Linked DNA regions of Caenorhabditis elegans. The protein of the gene in region 4 interacts with the protein of the main gene of each other region in a pairwise test. Each region holds a gene or a part of one and is shown on either strand. Other genes may lie near its edges. The genes, in order: unc-64, eef-1G, C15H9.4 and memb-1.

Region 1 (8,487 bases), on a different chromosome or scaffold from region 4:
ATGACGCCGGTGACAAGGATGCAAATCTTCTTCTGAAATTTAGCTTTAGTAAGAAAATTGCACAAAAAAAATATCTCAAAGCGATTCAGAAATTCATTATTGTTATTATTATTGATTGATTAATTAATTTTTTGGTTGGTTGGTGGTGAGTGAACAGAAAACACATGAAATGGGTGGCAAAAAAAATTGAAAAAAAAATTAAAATTTCTTACAGTAAGAAATTGGAAGGATCCTAAAGTTTTGAAAATTTGTAGAAAAAACAATTTTTAATAAATATTTAAGCTTCCATTTTGAGATCGATATTATTCTAATTTTAAAAAATAATGAAATAATTTGTAATTTAAATTTAATTTTTATATTAAAAAGAACTATTGCTTGGTCGAAGAGAACGGGGGTGAGATTTACGTGTGAAAAGCGCGCGAAAAGTGGGTCAAAAGGCAGTGGAGATACAAAAACAGGATGTATTGCGAAATAATTAGGCTTTTTTTAAAAGAAAAATAATATTAATTTGTTCGGGAATTCGGGTACTTTTATGATAATAAATCAACAGTGATTTTTGCCCGGTCTCGACACGATAAGTGTTTTTGTTAAACGCGAAAAAGTATGCGCCTTTAAGATTACTGTATTACGGGAACAGAAATTTCTGAGAATGCGTATTCCGCAAAATATTTGACGCGCAAAATATCTCGTAGCGAAAACTACAGTAATCCTTTAAATGACTGTAGTTTGCGCTACGAGATATTTTGCGCGTCAAATATGATGCGCAATACGCATTCTCAGAATTTTGTGTTCCCGTAATAAGTTAAAAATTTTTTTCCTCGAAAAAACAAGTTTTAAACTACAGTAATCTTTAAAGGCGCAGCACATTTCTGTATGGCACGCAACTTTGTCGTGTTGGGACCCGGTACTGTATTTGACTTGCTTCGGCGCAAAAATCCAAGATTCGGTAATATAACCTTGACGCAAGCGCACTCCACGGCTAATTGAGAACGCTCCGCCCTGAAACCATGGGTCTCGTGAGGAAGTTGGCGCGGCAAATTCGAAAATTCAAACATTTTCAATTACTTTCTATTGCTTTTATTGATTTTTAAAAAAATTATTTTGACAGCAAAAATATTTAAAACAACGAAAAACTGGGTGAAAACGTTTGAATTTCCTGATGTTGCCGCGCTAAATACCTAACGAGACCCAATTTATAAAGGCGGGACGTTTGGCCGTGGAGCGGGTTTGCACTTTGATTTTTCAAATAGTATTTTCTCCAAAATAAGTTGATTAATTATGAAAAAAGTACCTGATTGAAAGAAACTAAATAATAAATAAATTAAATATTTTTGATAATAAAAGTTTGCTCTATTTAATCTAATGCTCTAATTACAAAGATATATTTAGCCCTTATTTTCAGAGAAAACAAGCGAATTTGGTTCATTATTGGAGCCGTTTTTGTTGTCATATAGAATTTGAAATTTTGAAATTTTTTTAGCGTGGGCGTTTAGACGGGGAAACAAATGGGCTTAAATGCCAGGAATATACTGAATGAGCCACAGAGAAACGAAGCCGATTAGGATGGTGACGACGATCAAAATGATGATCTTCTTCTGAAAATAATGGACAAATAGGTTAGAGAGAAACATTTATGGTTTACGACAAAAAATACGACGAAAAAAAAAACACATCACAGGACAATATATGACAATCACAATAAAAAATACAATCACAGGAGGTCCACGGTCTGCAAACACGCTCTGCTGAGAACTAACAACAAACTTTCCAAAAAATGCAAGAACACAAAATTCTGAGAATGCGTATTGCACAACATATTTGACGCGCAAAATATAACTACATCTCGTAGCGAAAACTTCTGACTACTGTGGTGTCGATTTACGAGCTCGATTTTAAACTGAAGAGATTTATCGATAGAATACTAATATTAAGCAAAAAAAAGACAGTAGTCATTTAGAGAATTACTGTAGTTTTCACTACGAGATATAGTTATATTTTGCGCGTCAAATATGTTGTGCAATACGCATTCTCAGAATTTTATGCTCCCGTAATACAAAGACTTGAGTGAGAGAGTGAGACAACACAAAGTAAGTTAAAACATAATAAATTAAAGCCCCCATATGAGAAATTGATTTGAAAAATTGAACTCAATTCCCGTCACCAATATTAATATTTTCCCCGAATTTTGAAAGCAAGAGGGTTTAAGAAAAAAAAAATCAATGACAATTTTTCAGCGAACACGAAAACGTTGAGAAGACGTGTTCGATGTGGAGGAGCTTGAGGTTTTTGAGGGTAACACAACAGAAGTTGAAGCATTCGCAACAATAACCCAAATGACGACAGCAATGACGATGACGAGAATAATGACAACAATTAACACAAATATATAGCATTTCATCTGGAACATTACAGATGTACACCACGAATCACTAATACAGTACAATAATCAATTTTTGAATCGATATTTTTTTGAAAAAAAAATGCGGCGGCAACTTGAAAAATGGTAGATCATATCATTATACTTTCTAATATTTCATAAACTTTCAAATTCATAAAAAAATGTTGCGCGTGAGGTATGATGTTTGAATCATTTCCTGCCCGACTTTTGTGCCAAAAATACGGTTCCTACTCACGGCCCGGCAAACTGTATGAGTACGCAATTTGTCTACCGTATACCTGGACGTTTGGGCGCATCTATCTCAAAAACGGGTGGTCCAATATTTTTGTGATGCATAAAAATGTCCGAAAATAGATTCGAATTTTTTTTTGGACCAAAAGCTTTTTTCGTTATCACGCGCCCAAACCTGGCTACACTCAAATTATCAGTAGAGCGCATTTGCATGGATGTACCACTTGCTTACCGGGCCGTGTTGGTCTTGACACGACAATTTTTTGTTGAATGCAAAACTGTTGTGCGAAAATAAAAAGTTTCCGAAAAACTATGAAAAGTCGATGAAAATAAAAATACTCTTTAAAGGCACACACCCGTTTGTATTAATAAATTTATAAAAATTCTCGTGTCTGGGAATTTTAGAACCCACATTTTCCCAGCTGCCAGACACATTTTCTATCAATTTTGATGAATAAAAAACTCAATATAGGTATATCCATGCAAAATAGAGTTACAATATTAAATTTTTCCAAAAACGTAAAAAACGAACCCTTCGCGCCTTCGACTGATATTGAACGGCTTTCTTCGTATCAGCTACTGCTCGATCAACAAATTCTTTCGCGTGCTCCACATTGTACTCAATTCGATCAACCATCTCTCCCTGGAAAAGCTCAGGATTTTTCTTTAATTATTTGAATTTCCTCCAAGCTGAGAATTACACGACCAATCAGGCGGGGTGGGCGGACTCGAAGACGCTGATTGGTTGGAAAGTACCTCTTCTATTTTACCTTAGACTAGACATTAAGAAATTTGTTAGAAAAAACCTATATTTTTTTTTGAAAATTCAACTTGTAATATCAAAAATTCCACAAACCTGAGATTCGACAAGCATAGCCATATCCATGAACATGTCGTGAAGCTCTCGAATTGAACTTTCCAATTTCATGATATCATTGTGACGAGCTTCAATATCGGCTAGCGTTTGTTTTGCCTAAAAAAATTATTTAACATTTTTTGGGTTTTTTTCCAGAATTTTTCTTGGAGAATTGGAAGGACGCCTCCCCGCGCTCAAGGTTAAGCGTAAGCGTAAGCTTACGCTTAAGTCTAAGCTTAAGCCTCAGACTAAGCCTAAGCCTAAGCCTGAGCCTAAGCTTAAGCCAAAAAAAAAAACGAATTTGGAATAACTTTTGTTAATATTTTCAATTTTTTGTTTCAAATTTTAAATTAGAAAAAAACAAACCTGTTGGGTATCTGTGATGATTCCTTGTGTAAATACTCCCGGATTTCCGCTCTCAATCATTTCCTCCAAATCCTCATCTCCGACTTGTTTTCCAGCTGAAAAAATATGTAATGGATTATTAGAATTTTGTGTGAATTTTTTTAAAAACTGATCCAAAATTTAGTGGCACAGAATGTCAGGAAAAATTTTGTCCTGCCCCAGTTAGGCCTACACGTCTGCCTGCCTACCTGCCTACGATACTTATAATTCGACTAGTCGGTGTGCCTGACAAAAATTTTTTTGAAGCGTCCGATGTTCTCTGGGTTCGTCTTGCGCTATGACAGGTATACATATATGTCGTAGGCGTAAGCCGCCTTGTAGGCAGGTAGCAGACATTGGGAGCACCATGATTCAGGTGTGCTCCAAAATTCTAGATTTTTTTACTTTAACAACTTTTGCTTCGCAAAATTTCCATAAAAATGTTTTAAAAAAAGCTCACCAATATCGAGTTGTCTCTGAATTCGTCCCTTACACCTCTCTCGATAATCAGTCTGTGTCTTATTATAATCAGTCATCACTTCGACGAATCGTCTCGATAATGTGCTGTGTTGAGTTTTTCGAATTCGAAGATCCGCATTTCCGGCTCCTTGCTCGTCGTGATCAATGGCATTTTCGATCAATTTCAGTTTGCCGCGCACTTTATTCGCAGCTCTTTTGATAACTGCCATCAACTCGTCGAGTTCTTCTTTGGTTTCTGAAATTGTGGCATATTTTTGGGGGTCTCAAAAAGTACAATATTTTGAACCTTGTTTTATCCATTCAACAATTTTTTAAAAAATTTATTTTCGAAATTTTTTTAACGAAACTGTTTTAAAAAAATTCAATCTAACTTTGTTTATTTTACTGAGAAAACACGCACAAAATTTTTCCTGAAAGAAAAAAAAGAGTCACAATTCAAAGCTAGTTTCCGAAAAAATCGAAACAATGAAAATTTTCTTTTTTTTAACTTTTTAAAATTGTTTTCCAGATCTTTTCTTGGAGAATTTAAAACGAAGCCTCGCCGAGCCTAAGCCTAAGCCTAACTCTAAAAGCCTAAGCCTTGGCCTGAGCCTAAGCCTAGTCCTAAACCTGAGCCTAAGCGTAAGCCTAACCTTGAGCCTAAGCCTAAGCCTAAGGCCAAGCCTAAAAAAATAATTTTTTAAAGAAAAAAAAAAGCCAACATTTACAGGTATTTTTTCGAAAGATCTGGAAAACGAAAATTTTCGATATTTTTATTTTTCTGAAAAATCAATTTTCTAAAAGTTCAGTTTTTTAAAACATACTCTGATCGTTAACTGGATTTGATAAAATTGCCGAATGCTTCTTCTTGACCTCTTCAACATTATTCGCAATAATATCCACACTTCCACGAATCTCTTCAACCTGCAAAAAAAATTCAACTAAAGTGTTTCCATTTTCATCAACCCCAAACATTTTTATTTCCACAGAGAGCTCCTAGAACAAAATTCCATAGAATCTATATATCTCTATGAATTGAAAAAAAGGTCGCCGTCGGTTGCGCAAAAACTATGAATATTCAATCGCCCCCTCATGGGAAACAGAGACACCCGAAATGACACATATATAAAAATCGAGGCAAATTGACAAAAGAGAGCAACAAAAAAAAAGATTGCGAAATATGGGGGGGACGTCACTGAAATACATCACAAAATTGAGTTTCATTTTTTCTTGTTTCTCAACTATTTGAACAGCTTGTGTGATTGGTCATAGAATTTGCGAACATTTTGGAATTTGTTTTGTTTTTCAAACTAGTAGAATTTTTTGAAAATTTGAGAAGTTCAAAATCCATTTCTAAAATATTTACAGTTTGGAAATCGCTTTGAGAATGCGTATTGCACAACATATCACGCATATATGACGCAACATATGACGCGCAAAATATCTCGTAACGAAAACTACAGTAATTCTTTAAATGATTACTGTAGCGCTGGTGTCGATTTACGTGCGCTATTTTCTTTAGTTTCACAAGTAAAAATTTTTTTAATGTTTCATCGATAAATTTCGAAACCGAGCCCGTAAATCTACACCAGTGCTACAGTAGTCTTTTAAAGACTTACTGTAGCCTTCGCTACGAGATATTTTGAGCGTCAAATATGTTGCTCAATACGCATTCTCAGAATGTTGTGTTCTCGTTATATAATAGTTCAAAATTATCAACTATTTTTAAAAATTTTCAGATATTGTGGAATTCAAAAAAAAACATTTCGAGAATTTCTTAACAAAATTCCAATCCAATTAATTGAAATAAAGTTGAAGTTTAAAAAAATCTGAGTTTAAAACATTTTTTTGGCCGACTTCAAATTATTAAAGTGGACTTGAATGAAAAAATTTACATGTATTTTTTCAAAAAGTTGAACCATAATTTTTGTTTATTTCGACACCAATTTTTCCACTACAGTACCTGCTCAAAAAACTCCTCCATATATTGTGCATTCCCGGTGTCCATGTGCATATCATCGTCCTGCTCATCCTCGGACTGCGCCGCTTTTAAAGCGGACAATCTAAAATTTGTGCATCATTATCTTGATTCAAGAATATTGACTCACCTGTCCTTAGTCATGTTGTTGTTCCTGTTGACAGGTCTCGACACGAAAAGTGGTTCCTATTGTTGGACTGTCAAAAAGTCATGTGAATGGAAAGAGACAAGAAAGAGATTTTGATGGAAAGTCTGGAAAAGGAAAAATGAGAATTTAAAAATCGAATTAAAAGTTTAAAAAGGAGAAATGGGAAAAATATACTTTAAATAGAAATTATCAGATTATTAAAACTTAAAAAAAATTATATAGAATGAAGATTGTTAAAAATTGCACAAAAAGTTCATACTAACAATTTTCAAAAAAAGGGGAATTTTTTTCGAGTGGTCAAAACCTGGTGTTAAAAATTTTGGAAGTCGACCAAAATTAATGTTTTTCTATTATTTTCGTACTTTAGTGTACGTTTTAATTCGGCAATTTACCAAAACTTTGACTGAAATTTTTTTTGAACAAACTAAAATATAGACTAGACTAGGCCTTTTTTGACGATACTACAACTTTAAACAAAAAACATTTATATTCGAAAAATGTACATTTGATGACCAAATTTCATATTATAGTAAAAAATTCGAAAAATTATAGTAAAAAATTCGAAAAAAATCTAAATTTTTTGATTTATTGGGAATTTGAAGATTACCAGTTTTTGCCACTTATCTGGAAGTTGTCGATATAAAAAGTGTTCCTTCGAATTTTATGATTTACTTATGTTTCAAATATAAATGGTCGGCAGTGCTATTTTCTAAAATAAAAGTGGCAAAAAGTCAGTAATTGCCACTTTTTGGCTGACAATAAAAATGCTCAAAATTTTTTTGAAAAGTTTAACTATGGCATTTGAACATGACAGTGTTGTAGTTTTTTTCAAAAAGTGGAAAAAAGTTTTGAAAAGTCAAAAAAAAAAATTAATTAGATTACCCGTATTTCCTTTTGCACTTTACGTTAAAATTTTATATTTTTGGTTACATATTTCAAATATATCAATTAATGTATAACAACAAAACAATAGAGAAAGAGATGACAAATATTTTCTCAGTTGACAATTTTTTGTACAGGACAGAGGGTAACTGAAGTAAGTTTCAAGTCTAAAAAAAGAAATAAAAACGTGGTTACTTGTATATAAACTGAAAAGATAATAGGGCAGAATAGAGAATTCAAAGAAAAAAAAAGGAAAAGAGCAAAAAATAAGTGAGGCGGAGGGGAGTGGACGCGGGGGGAGCAGCACCGAATAGAAGGCGTTGTGTGTCTCGGGGAGCCGTTTTAGGAGCAAACTGAGTGACGAGAGAGAGAGAGAGAGAGAGTAGAAGAGATGAGGGGGAAAAGCTCGTCTTCTTCCCGGTGAAAGAGAGAGAGAGAGAGAGAGAGAGACCACATCTGTTCGATATATATGGGAAAAGCACGAGAGAGAGAAAAGGAAGAGCCAAAACGATGAAAGGAGAGGCGACGAGACAGTTAGACGTCTCACACACACACACACTCTCTCTCCATTTTCATGCTTTTGCGTGTCAAGGGGCGGGACTCTTTACCCCTATTTTTTTTCGCGGGTTTTCTCTGCGACTCTTTTTTTTATCCCACCATTTTTTAAGGAGTGAGACGGAGCAGAGAGGTGAATGATTTGGTGGGATTAGGGATCTGATCAGGGCAGTGGGGGAAGTTGTTAAAAACGACTCCTATGGTGCCAAAATGATTAAATTTCATAGTAAAAAAATTCGAATTTTTTTTTGAAAATTTCTTATTTAGTCAAAAAGTGGCAATTTCTGTTTTTTGCCACTCTTTGTTTTTTTTTTAATTTTAAAGGTGGAGTAGCGCCAGTGGCTCCTATGGTACAAAACTGAACAAATTTCATGTTTGAATATTAATATTTAGAACATAAATAGACCATAAAATTCGAAGGAATTTTTGTTTAAATTTCTGATCGACGACTTCCAAAAAAGTGGCAAAAACTGGTAATCTTCCAAATTTCAAAAATCATAAAACTTTTTGAAAATGGCATTTGGCCATCATAAACTGATGCTGTATATTTTTTTAAAGTTAAATATTTTTAGTTTAAAGTTGTAGTACTTCCAAAC
Region 2 (5,242 bases), on a different chromosome or scaffold from region 4:
CTGTTTTCTCGATACCATGATTTTGGATTTAAAGTATATTCTACAACTTCGAATCTCCATTGAGGTGTCTTTTTCTGTTCATAAAATTCCGATCCACACACCGAAGCGATTGCAAGTCGGTCTTCAAAGCAAGCAGCTGTGAGAATTGGTGCGAAATGTGTGAATATTTGTCGTTGAATTCCTCCAATAGTGAAAACTCGAATGTTTCGTTTTTTCGTGAGCACAACGACTTGAGTATTTGAGCAAAGCACATCAATACACCCGTCTCCACGAGGAAGAACCATCGACCACCGCTGACTGTCGAATGCTTGAATTGGAATTACATGTAGAAGACTAGTTCCTTTCTTTTCTGTTTTAGCAGGTTCATCAGTTTCAAGATCTTCAATGTCGTCGTTTGCTTTGTCAAGTTCTTTCTCTTTTTTCCGGCTCTCAACACTTGCCAGTGCAACAACCTTCAACGAAATATCCGCGAGTTCGTAGTTGATTTCAAAGTTGTCAATATGAATATCACCGTGGATGCTTTTATTGTGAAACTCGATCTGAAAAAAAAACGCTTGTTGTGAAGCAAGCTTATACAACTTACATCTATCGTTGAAACTTTATTTGCCTCGTTAACGTAGCTGCGAATAATTCCGAATCGATTATACTTCAGAAACCTTTGTGTTGCGTCGAGATCCATTGGAGAGCTGTTAGATACAAATCGTTCAGGAATAAGAACTTTTCGGGGAGCAGGTGGATCAGAATAGACTTGCGGGAGAGGATCATTCAAATTTCTGTCCGAGCTCATCGGTCGCATTTCCTCAGGTTCACCGAGTTTAAAACCGAATTCTTCAAGCCCTCCAAGATCTTGGTTCCCATAATTGAATTGTCGTTTGATAGCTCCAAGATCGGAAGACACTAAAATTAAAACATCAAGAGAAATTATATTTACAATCCCTCACTTCGGGTATCTTCATCTTCTTCAATGGCTTCTTCATTGAATAAACTATCTTTTTTGAGTGAAGTTCTATTCAAAAGGATTGAGTCGTCATCATCACTATCAACTGCAACATCTTCAGTTTTGTTTGAAACAGGCTTCTCGTTAGATGAATCATCTTTGAAGACATTAAACAAACAGATTCCTCTCTAAAATATTGTTACTTGAAAGTGCTCGAAAAGGGAAAAACTCACATTTGAATCAGCGACAATCAATTTTTTTGGGGAGAATGGAGAAAAAACAATAGAAGTGATGATAGTGATACCAGGTGCATTTCTCACGAATTTTTCACAACACACAATATCTCTGGAAAAAATGTATTATTTATCAGTTCACACATTTACCTAAATTTACAATTCATCACTATTCCAAACAGCAATTTGATTATCCATGGTTGAGGAGGCAAGATACTTCCCACACGGCGAAAGCGCAGTAACCGAAAAATCCACAGAAGCATGATCTTTCAAACGGTATACACCAGATTCTTCCCACCCATTTCGACGGTACGATTTCACACATCCTTTTGAAGGAACAAACAGCCATTGACCATCCTTTGACCATGAGAGTTGAATACGAGGTCGTGAAACACTGAAAAACAGGACATTGTTTAAAACCGAAGTATAACATGAAACACTAACTCAATTGTTTCAAATCTTGGGAAAACCTTGGTCAGTGTGTGTTTAATCGAGAATGAATCAATGTCTATAATAGTCACATTGCCATCCACAGTAGAAACGGCCACAAATTCATTTTTTGGATCCAGTTTGACACAAAGAACTTCAGCTTCAAGACTTCTCGTTTTCAGCTCTGCATCTAAATCTTTCATATTCGTGCATTTAACCGCATAATCGCTAGATCCTCCAATAACATTTTCCCTGTTTGCGTCGACCGTTGTGACATCCATTTGGAATTCAAGAGGATCAATAATATCTCCTGCTTCGAAATTGCCCTTTTTCGCCCGTCCCACCATTTGCTGCTCGGATCCAACAATGAAATCCACCTTGCGGTAACCAAAACAGATGTTTTCTCCATACCAAGCAATAGATGATGTTGTCGCATCGGGAATCTCGATTATTTCAGGTTTTTCATCTTGCAGCAACACGTTCTTATTGATCTTGAGTACATTTCGTTCAGCATCACAAACGTAAATCTGAAAAAAACAGGTAAATATGTTTATAAATCGTTTTAAATCCTACATTTTCAGTATCTTCTCCTGAAGCATCAATGCAGATAGTTTGAAGGCCGATATTCTCCAAATTTTTAACGTTAGTAAAGCTCATCTGAAAACAATGGAATTACGAGTGAAATTATTTATTTTCATCAAAAATAAATAAAATGCGAGCAAATTTTAAACCTGATTCTTGGCGCCGAAATGCGGTAAAAAAGTGTAATGCAACCATGGACCAGTGAACTGCGTAGAACCCCTATGTTTTGCGTACTGGCATTCTGCCAGGGGCACATACGCAGACTTTTCAGTGTATTTTTCCTCTGAAGAACACCACTCTTTTCAAGCGCCTCTTCTTTGAGCGTCGCTTCACTAGATTCTCCGACTCGTTGGTGACATCATGACCGGAGTAAGTTTATAAAATTAATTTCATTAAATTTGCAGTGCTGTTAAGAATAGTTAACGTGATTTCCGTTCGTTGCATTGAAAAATGATTAGGCCAAACCTTGAAATGACGAAATTTAACCAATTATTGATTTTTATTTTGCAGAAACTGTATGGAAACAAGGACAACTTCAGAACCCAAAAGGTTTTGATTGCTGCCAAGCTCGCCAACAAGACTGTCACCCTCGCCGGAGATGCTGCTCCAGCTGACAAGTTCCCACTTGGAGTTGTACGTTTTAATTTATTTAGATGTCAGTATTTGACGATCTGTGAACTATCAATGTGCAGAATTTCAGACCCCAGCATTTGAAGGAGATGCTCTTCTCTTCGGAGCTGAGTCGATCGGACTTCACCTGACTGGAACCTCAGCTAACGCCGAGACTGTCCAATGGCTTCAATTCGCAGAAGGTTATCTTCTTCCAGCTGTTCTCGGATACGTTCTTCCATCTGTGTCTGCAGCCAACTTTGACAAGAAGACTGTTGAACAATACAAGAATGAACTCAACGGACAACTCCAAGTACTCGATCGTGTTCTTGTTAAAAAGACCTACTTGGTTGGAGAACGTCTTTCTCTTGCCGACGTTTCCGTTGCTCTTGATCTTCTCCCAGCTTTCCAAGTACACTATGACCCAGATTATATGTATACACTCCTAATTTTCAGTATGTTCTTGATGCCAACGCTAGAAAGTCCATCGTCAACGTCACCCGTTGGTTCAGAACCGTTGTTAACCAGCCAGCTGTTAAGGAGGTTCTTGGAGAAGTTTCCCTTGCCTCATCGGTTGCTCAATTCAACCGTAAGTTTCTTTTTTGTTAGTGTGAATTTGTTTTGTTCCACTGCGAAGTCAGCAGACTAGTCAATCGATTAGTAGGCGTTACAGTGGTGGAATATCAAGATTTATGTACACCGTCTTTGCTTGAAACAGTTTTTGTTTTTGCTTTGTTCGGAACGTTTTTCATGGGACTGAGAGTTGGAAATTTAGCACTGGTCGTTTACAGGGTTGTCCTGCAGTCAATTCTAAGTTACCTTAGTTTATGTCCCACACATTTAAAAAGAAATCTAATTTTATAAAAAAACTTCTGATTTTGTATTCCCAGTTTAAATTTTATTCTTATTTTACAGAAGCCAAGTTCACTGAGCTCAGCGCTAAAGTCGCCAAGTCTGCTCCAAAGGCCGAGAAGCCAAAGAAAGAGGCCAAGCCAGCTGCTGCGGCTGCCCAGCCAGAGGACGATGAACCAAAGGAGGAGAAGAGCAAGGATCCATTCCAAGATATGCCAAAGGGAACATTCGTTCTTGACAATTTCAAGAGATCTTATTCCAACGAAGACACCGCTACCAAGGCTATCCCACACTTCTGGGAGAACTTCGATGCTGACAACTGGTCCATCTGGAAGTGCGAGTACAAATACCCAGAAGATCTCACTCTCGCCTTCATGAGCTGTAACCTTATCAATGGAATGTACCAAAGACTGGAGAAGTTGAAGAAGAATGCTTTCGCCTCCATGATTCTTTTCGGAACCGACAACAATTCGACCATCTCAGGAATCTGGGTGTGGAAGGGTGACAAGCTCGCCTTCGAACTCAGCCCAGACTGGCAGGTAGGACCATTTCCTCGATTTTGAATGTCGAAGAGTAGTCATTTGTATACGTGATACACTTATACAGAGTTACACTTTTCGTATATAAGTGCTTCTTCTCGTTGGAGTTGTTTATTTAATGAGCAATTACCTCTAAACTGAAAGCAACAATTTTATGAATTCTCGATAGTTTTCACAATAATATATTTCAGGTTGATTACGAATCGTACACCTGGACAAAGCTTGACGCCAAGTCCGATGCCACCAAGAAGGAAGTCAACGAGTATCTTATGTGGGAGGGAGACTTCGGAGGAAAGAAGTTCAACCAAGGAAAGATTTTCAAGTAAACTGGAGTTTCCATACAACCCGGTGTATTTGCCATTTAATCCTGTTGTTTACTCTGAGTCGGAAAGAATAAATTGTTTTCTATTGTTTATAAAGGACCCGGTATCACTTCAATAAATTATATCTTCTTCAAGTTGAGATTGAATTTATTCGTCTATAAGTGTTCCTAAATAATTTTAGATTTAAAAATTAGCTCCTAAGCTTGTTTCTTCGTTTTCGGTCGTCGTATAGTCCTCGATGTGTCCTTCGAAATATTCTTGATTTGCGTGTTCCAAAAAGCAAGATTTGATGTCGTTGAAATATTGTACACATTGCAAATGGTTGATTGAGAGGCTATTGACATCACTATCTTGACTCTGTAAAAATCATTGCGTGTCAGTAAAATGTCTCTCAAACCTGATCGCAGAAAGAGTGACAGTGTATTGGAACTAATGATTTGGAGCAGCATTCCGTGTGGTTTGTTCCTCGTGCCGCACAAAAATGAATCTTTTGAATTGCAGTCACTGGGCACACTGATTGTTGAAGAAACACTGCACTGACTTCTTCTGATGAGTACGTAGAATATGAGCATAAATCTGTGCAAGATGATTCAACTTCGAGAAGTGAGCAGCAGGTGGCAAAGTGCTCATCCGGTGTCTGTTATTTAGATATTATTGAAATTAAAATTTCCAGGAACTTTTTTCATAAGTTAACTTTTCCATGATTATTAGGTAGACACGTAAAGGTCACGTGGAGTC
Region 3 (5,369 bases), 3.3 Mb from region 4:
ACAGGCTACAATTTTCGTTCTGCCAAAATGTAGGCCTATCGACTCTTATCAAACTTTTTCTCTAAAAGTCGGAGAATTTCGTTGAATTTCTTATCGGTATAATGAAGTTTGGAATATATAGTTGTGTAATATTATGTACATACCTTTCCTACATACCCATCATTCATCATTCGAATGACTATAAAAACAGTAAAATCGAACAAGATTTGGTTTTTTTTTTCTTTCTTAATACGACAATACAATATGATTTATGTATTTGTCCTTGTGAAAATTGTGATGGATGGAATACAAATTATTTACCAAGGAATTTAATGAGAAACATGTCAAATGATTTAAAATATAAACGTAAATTATAACCACCAACTAAATAGTTTTCTAACAATTGGTCATTTCAAAGTGGCTGAGTCACTGTATCACGAGGTGTGAGTGGAACTTTTTTTCTGAACATTTTGAAAATAAAAGAATGTATGTCTCATCCGACGCCATTATATTAATTTTTCATCGATTGAAAAATGTGGAAATGGGGAAAAATGGTTAAACATGTAGAATGCACTCTGGAACTTTGTGCTATTACAAAATTTAAACAAAAATGTTGAGATCGAAATATTTCAGCTTGAAAAAGTCTGAAGAGGCGGGAAATCAATTTCACGTATTTTGTTTGGACTGTAAAGACGCTCTATTATTAGTTTTAGACGGTTTGTTATACTTTTTAACATTAAAACTAAAACTTGAAAGAAATTTAGAAAAAGTATGCAAAACAAATAAGGACTTGCTTTTATTTTTTTTTTGAAATTCCTATTCATTTTTGCTATGACCTAAAATATTTATATAGTTACATGATTTATAATATATGATGACCAAATATGATAATAGAACTTATCAAAAAACTTTGGACAAAATCTTATTTCGAGTCAGAAGCGGTAAAAAGTTATAATCTCTACAATGCGGAAATTATTGAATATAAGTATTTTGAATATAATCAAAGCACAAAACTGGATGAAAAAATATTTTTGAAAAAATAAAAATAGAAAAAATATATAAATACTGAGTTTTCACAGCTTTTTTACTCAAAATAAAAAACATTTTCAAAATTTTTTTAAAGTTTTATTATGATATTTGGTTATTTTATAAAAAATATATTAAATTCATTTGCTACAAAAAATGTTTTTTGGAAAAAAAACATACAAAATTTGTTCAGCAAGAATTTGCGCGGGTATTCAAATTTTGAGAAAAAAATCCGGTTAATTATTTGCACTTATTACGACAAAGTTTAAAACCCAGTAGTTCATTCTCCAGTAAATTTTCAATTCACATCACTATTTCGTAAAGGGAGCTGTGAACGTAATTAATCGACTTTTTGAAACATTAAATTGGCAAATAAAAGGAATATAGTTATGTTTGCCCAAAAGAAATCAAAATAACAAATTGAGGGCACAACTAAACGTAGAAACGTTGAAGAGTATGTCAACACTTGTGGGGTAGCCTCCTCCCGAACGCGGGGGTCTAATGCGGCGCAACCGTAAAAAGTATTGAGATACACATCAACCCGAAAGGTTAGAGGTGGTAAAAATGGTCAAAAGAACAATGGTGACAAAAAGCGAGTTGACGAGAGGGGAGATATATAGGCAACCTGCTCATCTGTGAAAAAAACGATTGAAATGTTTTTCAAGGTCTTTGCACTCACACCTCACTCAAACGCGCCAAACATAATTCATGACGACGATCTATGAAGCGAAAAAGCAAAAAAAAAAGAAAATGCCTTTTGCAGTTTTTGTTCTTCTCGACAACTTTGAACTACACAGAGCAAGCAGCGGGAGAAGTGCAAGTATTCCAAAAGTATGTAAAAGCCATCCATCTATGGGGCAAGGGTTGAAAGATGAGGGAAGAAAGAAGCGGGGGGCAAGAAGACGCTTTGGTGGTGAAATAGGGGCGTCGATGTCAATCAAACCACTTTGGAAGATTGACTAAAACACTCTTTTCTTAGTCAACAGGAAATGGAAAAGAAATCGAGCGCCGCGTTTTGATTTTGCCTAGTTTCGGAAAAACACAGAAAACTGCAGGAACGCGGAAAATCAAGATCGAGGCGCGCGAAAAAACGGCTAGGCGACGAAGAGAGGATTGGCCGGACGCGAACGGACACACACACTCATTTGTACGCAAACTGTGGTCGTAATAGGTGGCAAGGTTTCAAGCTCTGAATTCTTTTTTGCAGGTACGGAAGTGGTGAACAAAAACATAAAATAGAGCAAAACTATTTCCTATTGTCCACCTTACTGTCTTATATGTAGTCAATGGAAAATTGAAAAAGCACATAAATGTCAATATACAGGGGGAGACGTTTCTCTTATCATTGCACCGTTGACCATCATAGTCGGAAATGGAGTTGTTATCAAAGGGTAAAGTTCCACTTTTTTGAGTTGATTAAAACTGGTTAATGTTTGATTAATTATGAGAACATTCTAGTGCGGTAAAACGTTTTTTCAATGAAGATCTCCCCCTATCGGATTGCAGTTCAAAATCAAAGTTTTTACATCAAGAAAAATAAAAAAGTGTGAAAATTCTATTCTACAGTTTGTAAAACAGTAATCCACACGGCCAAAAACGGCCAAAACAATGAGAGGCATATAGGAGAGGAAAAAATGTTTTTGCCTTCTAACTGAGCATTGTGATGTCTGGTGAATCAGACAGAGAAAAAGAACACAGTAAACAAGTTTCCGCGCTTCAATTAGCTCTTTTGAGATATTTTCACGCGAAAAATCAATATAAATTGATATACATCAAGTGAATGTTGAAATTGAACCATAAATCATATTGTTTTTAATAATTTAAAAATAATCATTTTGTGATTAAATTAAAAAGAAAACACTTTTCTTGCAATTTGAGGGAAACGACAGATAAAAGAGAAAAAACCATGATGATAATTAGAAAAGGAGTATAAAGAAGGAAATTATTATTTCAACATAAAAACTTTTGGAAAACTATTTTGCGCAATTAACCCAATAATAATAGCATTAATAACAAAACAAAAATGCATATAAAACCATACAAACTCGAAAAAAAATCGATAACAGCTAAGATGGATTATAAAAAGAGCAAATTGGCTCGTAAAACTAATAATCGAGCGGTATTGGCTATTGCGGTGCACAGAAAATGGCCGGATTCCGGGTGGTCGGCAGACAATGGCTAATACGCGCAGTACGCAAACACGCGCACGCAATAATGCGTACCCCCTTTCGCCATGCTTGTTCACCCCTCTCTTACCACTAGTCCTTTTAACTCGGACAGCTGTCCAATGCGGCGATCCCTCATTAGAGTTGGTTTGTCGTTCTGAATTGCATGAAATATTGTATAGATGTTGTAATATGAGGTTATATCAATGTTACAAAGGATTTTAAGTAAGGAAAAAAATCTTCTTTTCATTAATGAATTATAAGATATTGAATTCACTAGATGACCATAGAGCACACAAAGACACAGAAGGTTCAGAAAATAGTACACAATAGAATGAAAAATAATTAACAATATTTTTTTACAGGGAGTCTCGAGTTATCACATCACACGACTGGAAATTTATTGGACTAAATGTTACAACTAAAAAAGATTAGAGATGGGGAAAAGGAGGCGGAGACTAGAATTTATACACTTTGGCCAGTGTACTTTCACCTATATGTTTGAAAAAATTTAGTTCATACATCTTGAAGTTTTTAGATAATGATGATAATATTTTCTAAGGAATGATTGATATTGCAATGGAATTTGAAATTGTTTTTATCATATTTCAAAATCAGTTTCAATTTTCATCATTATCTTAAAATAGTTATATACACATTATCATGCATCTAGAAAGGACCGGTAGAAATGTTATTTGAAAAGCAAAATGTTTGAAAATAGTGAGTAGAACGCGATAGAAGTCTGGATGATCATCCTGTCCATAATAGTATTATAATCGAAACAGTTGGTTGGTTGAGTTGATAAGCCTCCCTCCGTTTGCACTGAACTCGTTGTTGTTTTTGTTGTTGTTGTAACGGATTATAATTAATCTAGCAATGATTGTTCGTAGGTTTGAGAACTGAACAAATACAGATTATTATTGAATGTTATGTATTAATACTGAAAGCCACTCACGGTTTCTTCAAAAGTTTCTGATGGGGATAGTCGGTTTGGTTGTTTGATGATTCATCTGAAACCAATCTCCTCGACACATTGGCATCTGAGTAGGCTTTTGTCAGGAATCTGCAAGATTTTCTCAACTCAAGGTTTTGATTTTTTCACAAAGATGATAAAACGAATGACTCACTGCTCATCAATTTCTTGCTCATTGTTTTCTTTATCTTTCCTATCTTCTTTCGGCGATGTCTCCACATCATAGCTATCAAAATCCGAGTTCAAGAGCAGATAATTGTGTGAATTGGCAGGCCGGAATTTGTAGCCAACGATGATGAAAAATGCGAAGGTAACCATTTCGACTGCAGCGACAATGGTCCATTGGAGGTTCACAGGCATTAAGTGCTGAACGGGAATAATTATGCACACATATGTATGATTAAAATTAGAGTAGGAGCCGGTGACGATATTGTTAGAACACGCTCCTAGGTTACCAAAAAGACCGAATATCATAGTAAATCTTTTACAAATGTTGAATTCATAGTCAAAAAGTGACATTTACTGAGATTTTGCCATTTTTTTTGGCACTGTCCCAATCTATACTTACATTGTTTAAAAACCGATGTTTGAAACATACGTAGACTATAAAATCCAAAGGTAGTTTTTTTTTTTGACCGACCACTTCAATGAAGTAGTAAAACCTGAGTAATTACCAGTTTTTGAAACGAAATATCAAAAATTTAAAAAAATTGTATAAAGTTGTACTGTGATATTTGGAATTTTGGCACCACAAAAGTGGGGTTTCAACACTTTTCCCACTGGCGCTGGCTTGAAGCTAAGAATTTTTTTTGTACATGTTTAATTGTTATAATTCTAAAACTCACGAGTAATATGAAGCCAAAAAACCTCGTGCAGTAGATGTAGACGACAACGAGAATATAAAATTGTCGAAATAAACGTAGTTTTTCCAAATTGGCTGCGGCTTTTCCATCTGTAGTGGCTCCCTCTACCAAGTGTTGAATTGACCTAAAATTTATAAAAAAATAATTAAATTTCAGTATTTCCAGTATCAGTGTTATTTTTCTATCAAAATTGGGTTATACGTATAGGATAATCTTTTTTACGAAACCTAGTACAATTTTTCTGATTAGTCAGTTTGTTCTATGTTGTTAATATTTCAAAAAACCTGTTGAATTTTAATTTCAATTTCTAGTCAAAATGATCCTCCAAATATTTTAAATAGATTTTATCTGAAATCTTACCAA
Region 4 (4,119 bases):
ATTTTAAGCTCTTTTAGAATTTACTAACAATATTTCAGTAGGTACAAGAAGCTTCACGTAGTTACAGAAATAGTACATTTTCAGCCCTATCTTTTAGTGCGTATTTCATTATTCAATGAAAACTACCATTTATAGACAAAAACAGATGGATTTTCCAAACTTTGAAAATTCATAAATCTCTTCAAAGTAACTTTTTTTGAAATGTCTTTCAGAAACTTTGTAGTAAATTTTAAGCTCTTTTAGAATGTACCAACAATATTCCAGTAGGATGTGTTTAAAAATCTGAATGAACACAAAATTTGCAACAAAATCGCTATGGGTATTTTCAAAACAGTTAATTTAAAGCGGAATATTAATTTTTAAAGTTTTGAAAATCCACTAACTTTGCATATGAATTGTCAGTTCAAATCAATTTCAAAATGTACTTCAAAATGTTTGACTGAAAATGCACTTTTTCTTTGCGGTTATAGAAGCTTTTGGAATTTAGTTTTCAAACTTTGAAAAAACCCCTTTTTTCTGTTAAAATCTACTTTTCTGCTCTGAATTTTGTCTTGTTGTTTTGCTATGACAAGTTTAATGAGACAGATTTTTACATTCAAAAGGCTTTTTGAAAAATTAACAAAACTTCCCATTTCCCATACAAAAATCATCATATATTATTCCAAACTGAAAGGAATATAGAGTCAACAGAAAATGGCAGGAAATTTGTATATGAACAAATAAATAAATAAAGATATGCAGGAAATGAAACAAAATAAATAATGACAAAAAAAAGTTGTCGCTGGCCAGCAATAGATATGCTATTGAAATCACAAAATACGTGGCATTTTTGGTATGTATGACGAGATGGTTGATAGTTTCGCATTCAACTGATTCTTCCTCATCCACGCCAGAATCGGTAAAATGCGTACATGAAGATGCAGCAGACAATGCATCCAATCACAAATAGGATCCAATCCTCACGAACACGCCGATCGATGACTTGAAGTGTCGAGTTAGAGAGACCCAACTCAAAATATGTTTTTAAAAGTTGAAATTAGAAATGTAACTTACAGCTTGGCCAATTTCATGCATTTTTCTCCCAACGCCGCGTAAATTTAAATGCTGGGATTTCAAGTTTTCGAGTACAGCAGATCCTTGACTTATCAGATCGTCAAGCTGCAATTATTGCTTTTAAATTCATTTTTTTCAATTAACGGAAGACAAAAATTTAATTTTAAGTGGTAAGTACCATAAACGTTATCTGAAAACTCACATGAGTGTGGGAAGATTGCAGGCGATCATTGAGAAGAAGCTCGTGGTCTCCAATTGAAAGCGCTGTATCGTTTGGCCGATATCTGAATTTCTAGTTACATACATTCAATGTTTCAAATTTTTGATCAACTTTAATTTACATTCAATCTACTAAATCTGTTACACAAATCAGAAGTGAGAGAACTATTTTGTTTTCTTTCGCAGGATTGACAAAACTTCGTTACAGCAAAATCCTTTGATCAAATGTATAAATTTGCAAATAATTTTAACAAACTTGTATACACCAGCGTTTTTATACCGTCCATATTTTCTTGCAGCAATTTAATCGTCTTTGTTTCGTTTGATAATTTGAGAAAAAAAATACTTACCGCGTCCTAAGAAGCTCATCTCGTTCAGTAGCAGCTCTCCATCTTTGTGTCATTCTCGTGTGTACTGCCGAAACGGCCATATCAACTCTGTGGACGTCGGCGCGTAACTGATCAACTCTCATTCGGGCCTGAATTTTTGAATTATTGATTTTTTGTCTTATTTCTTCCAAATTTTCTCACCGCTTGCCGCCTCGCTGGAGGTTCTCGAGAAACGTAATTATCTAATGTCTGGCAGTTTTCCTTCAGGGTTCTAAAAAATTATTTTAATATTCAAAAAAATATTTTAAGTCAGCTCACATGACATCACCATATATGCACTGTACAACAACTTGCGCATCTTGTTCGTTTTGAGTGCCTTCTAGTCGTCCAAGGTCATGTTGAACCTTCTGTAGAAGAAAATTGGTGCTTTGGTAAAGAGCCTCCATGGATAAACTGAAAAACTTTCAATTACAAATGTGAAATTCAAAAAAAAAATATCTGAATCCAAGAATAAGTAAAGTACAGATGTGTCCCCGCGTAAATCGAGGGGTGAGTCGTCGTACGCAAACACAACGACGCACAAGTGCACAGTGTGACGTCAACATAGAACGGCAATGAAAGAAAGGGGAGTAACGACGAAAGGAAGGAGGCATGTGTATAGATGGAGAAATAGTGTCAAAAGTGGAAGGAAAGAAAAAAAAAACGAAAAAGAATGGTAAATTGCAAACTTTGCTTGACATTCTGTAAGCTGAAACAGGGGTTCAAACAGTTTTTTTTCTTCCAAATTATTCCACGCATAGGTTCAATGAAAATCCTGCTTAAGAACTAAGAAAGACTGTTGTTTTTTATCTGACCGAGAAAAAAAAAATACCGAAATCATATGTAGTCTAGTGTCCAAAACTTTGAATGTGCGTTTATTATCGATACTGAGAAATTATCGCTTTTTTCTTGTATTTACTTATTCAATATTTTGAAATACTTCTTGTGCCTCAAATAGGTGCGCTAGTATTAGAACAACATATCTATTTTGAGTACAAACTTAACTTATTTGCTTAGCATTGCTTTTCTCCAAACAGTAAATAGGAAAAGTTTGCAATAAGAGAAGCACTTTTGCAAATATTATAAGAAAACGCGATTAGTTTCACTTTGAAACCTCCGACTTTTCTCTGATGTTATGACTTCTAGTTTCCAGTGCGAATGCTATGAATAATCCTATTATGTGCCACCTATTTTGTACTTGCATTCTTGCATATTTTTTTGGCGTTTCTTCCAAAAAGTCAAGTCACTCCGTCCTTTTCCCTTTCAAACTCAATTTCAAATTCTCATTTATTTTAATGGTCAAAAAAGAAGAGAAAACTCACAATTCTTTTTTTTTTCTCCGTCTTCGTCTTTAGGGAAAGTGTCAGTTTTGTTTTTGTTTTCCACTGTTTTGGTAGATAACAATGAAAAAAAGTAGAACACGGACAACAAATAAACTTTTTGTTTCGTGTATTTTTTAGAGTTCAGTTAAAAAAAACAATTTTGGAAGGATTTTTTGTTCAAACGTTCTACACTTTCATTAAAAATATATTATGGATTTCTTGTTTTTTCTTTAAATAAAACCATAAAAACAAACAAATTGAGCATTTTCCTCTGTGATCATTTGAAATGAGATTTTCATTGAGCCGGTGAGCCCACAAACAGCTGTGTGCTGTCTGCTCTTCTCAGCCACTGATACGGCTTTTGAAATGGCAGTTATTTTCGTTTTTGTTGTCTTTTTTGATGTATTTCTCTTTTTTGATGATTTGCTCTTTTTGTGGCAACCAATTTGCTTTGTGGTGGGCCCATCCAATTCCAATTTCTCACCACTTGAATTTCTAATGATGCAAAGAGAATATTTCTGAAGATGTATGTAATGTCGGCAAGTGTTTAACACATTTTATTGCTATTTGTTTCAAACGAAATATTATTGGACCCGAAAGTTTCTATTAATGGAAACTGTCAGAAGTTTGTAAGTTTTGTTTAATTTGTGTGTCAACTGCTCCATATTATTTTTAGGCAATCAATTTTGAACATACTAACTATTTTTCATTCGATGATAACTTGATTTAGTCAATTAAATTTCAAAAATAATGCACAATTAATTTTAAAAGTTGAGTATCAAAATTTTTATATCGGAATTTTTTTAGTGACATTTCAATGGTTAAATAAAATACTTTTTATATGCAGAAATATTTTCAATTTCGAAAAAGTTGTTCAAGACGCAGCAGACAGAAGTTAATTTTTTTAAACACTACGTACCTATAATATTTTGCATTTTTCAAATGTTTAAAAAATCTTTTTCTGCTGATTCAGGTGCAAATTACGTATAAGAAAATAACTGGTCACAATTCACCAAATTATGTCTATCATCCATGATATTTGAAAACTACGTCGCTGGCAAGTTAAAAATCAATATTAAAAAAAAGGGTTCTATTTTGAAATTTTGATTTGTCAAAACACTATTAATAAATTTTTGAAGAATTTCTATTATGGTACT

The links.
Region 1: the proteins of memb-1 (region 4) and unc-64 interact in a two-hybrid assay, tested with the Caenorhabditis elegans proteins (one large-scale study listed by BioGRID).
Region 2: the proteins of memb-1 (region 4) and eef-1G interact in a two-hybrid assay, tested with the Caenorhabditis elegans proteins (one large-scale study listed by BioGRID).
Region 3: the proteins of memb-1 (region 4) and C15H9.4 interact in a two-hybrid assay, tested with the Caenorhabditis elegans proteins (one large-scale study listed by BioGRID).

Annotation. Positions count from the first base shown.
Region 1 is NC_003281.10:13,275,332-13,283,818, reverse strand, and holds the start of unc-64 (Syntaxin-1A homolog), read right to left. Parts: upstream 6,561-8,487; 5' UTR 6,451-6,560; coding exon 6,437-6,450; intron 6,392-6,436; coding exon 6,292-6,391; intron 5,253-6,291; coding exon 5,153-5,252; intron 4,585-5,152; coding exon 4,330-4,584; intron 3,947-4,329; coding exon 3,852-3,946; intron 3,603-3,851; coding exon 3,486-3,602; intron 3,273-3,485; coding exon 3,162-3,272; intron 1,596-3,161; coding exon of another isoform or gene 1,512-1,595; exon of another isoform or gene 1,479-1,511; intron 33-1,478; coding exon 1-32. UniProt on the Caenorhabditis elegans protein: Plays a critical role in several secretory processes, including cuticle secretion and neurotransmitter release, and probably assists in neuronal membrane maturation or the final stages of neuronal differentiation.
Region 2 is NC_003283.11:10,963,284-10,968,525, forward strand, and holds eef-1G (putative elongation factor 1-gamma), read left to right. Parts: upstream 1-2,435; 5' UTR 2,436-2,541; coding exon 2,542-2,550; intron 2,551-2,691; coding exon 2,692-2,814; coding exon of another isoform or gene 2,815-2,836; intron 2,837-2,881; coding exon 2,882-3,202; intron 3,203-3,246; coding exon 3,247-3,379; intron 3,380-3,414; exon of another isoform or gene 3,415-3,632; intron 3,633-3,705; coding exon 3,706-4,181; intron 4,182-4,206; exon of another isoform or gene 4,207-4,333; intron 4,334-4,372; coding exon 4,373-4,507; 3' UTR 4,508-4,639; downstream 4,640-5,242. Other genes in the region: ctf-4 (WDHD1/CFT4 second beta-propeller domain-containing protein), read right to left, coding at 1-539, 584-897, 942-1,125, 1,171-1,282, 1,331-1,564, 1,615-2,126, 2,173-2,256; dbd-16 (DB domain-containing protein), read right to left, coding at 4,688-4,861, 4,902-5,141. UniProt on the Caenorhabditis elegans protein: Probably plays a role in anchoring the complex to other cellular components.
Region 3 is NC_003284.9:6,095,605-6,100,973, reverse strand, and holds the start of C15H9.4 (Transmembrane and coiled-coil domains protein 2), read right to left. Parts: upstream 3,332-5,369; 5' UTR 3,262-3,331; intron 1-3,261. Other genes in the region: C15H9.5 (GOST seven transmembrane domain-containing protein), read right to left, coding at 4,036-4,069, 4,126-4,233, 4,298-4,509, 4,989-5,130, 5,367-5,369.
Region 4 is NC_003284.9:9,439,518-9,443,636, forward strand, and holds memb-1 (Golgi SNAP receptor complex member 2 homolog memb-1), read right to left. Parts: upstream 2,055-4,119; 5' UTR 2,048-2,054; coding exon 1,920-2,047; intron 1,873-1,919; coding exon 1,803-1,872; intron 1,751-1,802; coding exon 1,623-1,750; intron 1,338-1,622; coding exon 1,256-1,337; intron 1,159-1,255; coding exon 1,054-1,158; intron 1,010-1,053; coding exon 881-1,009; 3' UTR 562-880; downstream 1-561. UniProt on the Caenorhabditis elegans protein: Involved in transport of proteins from the cis/medial-Golgi to the trans-Golgi network.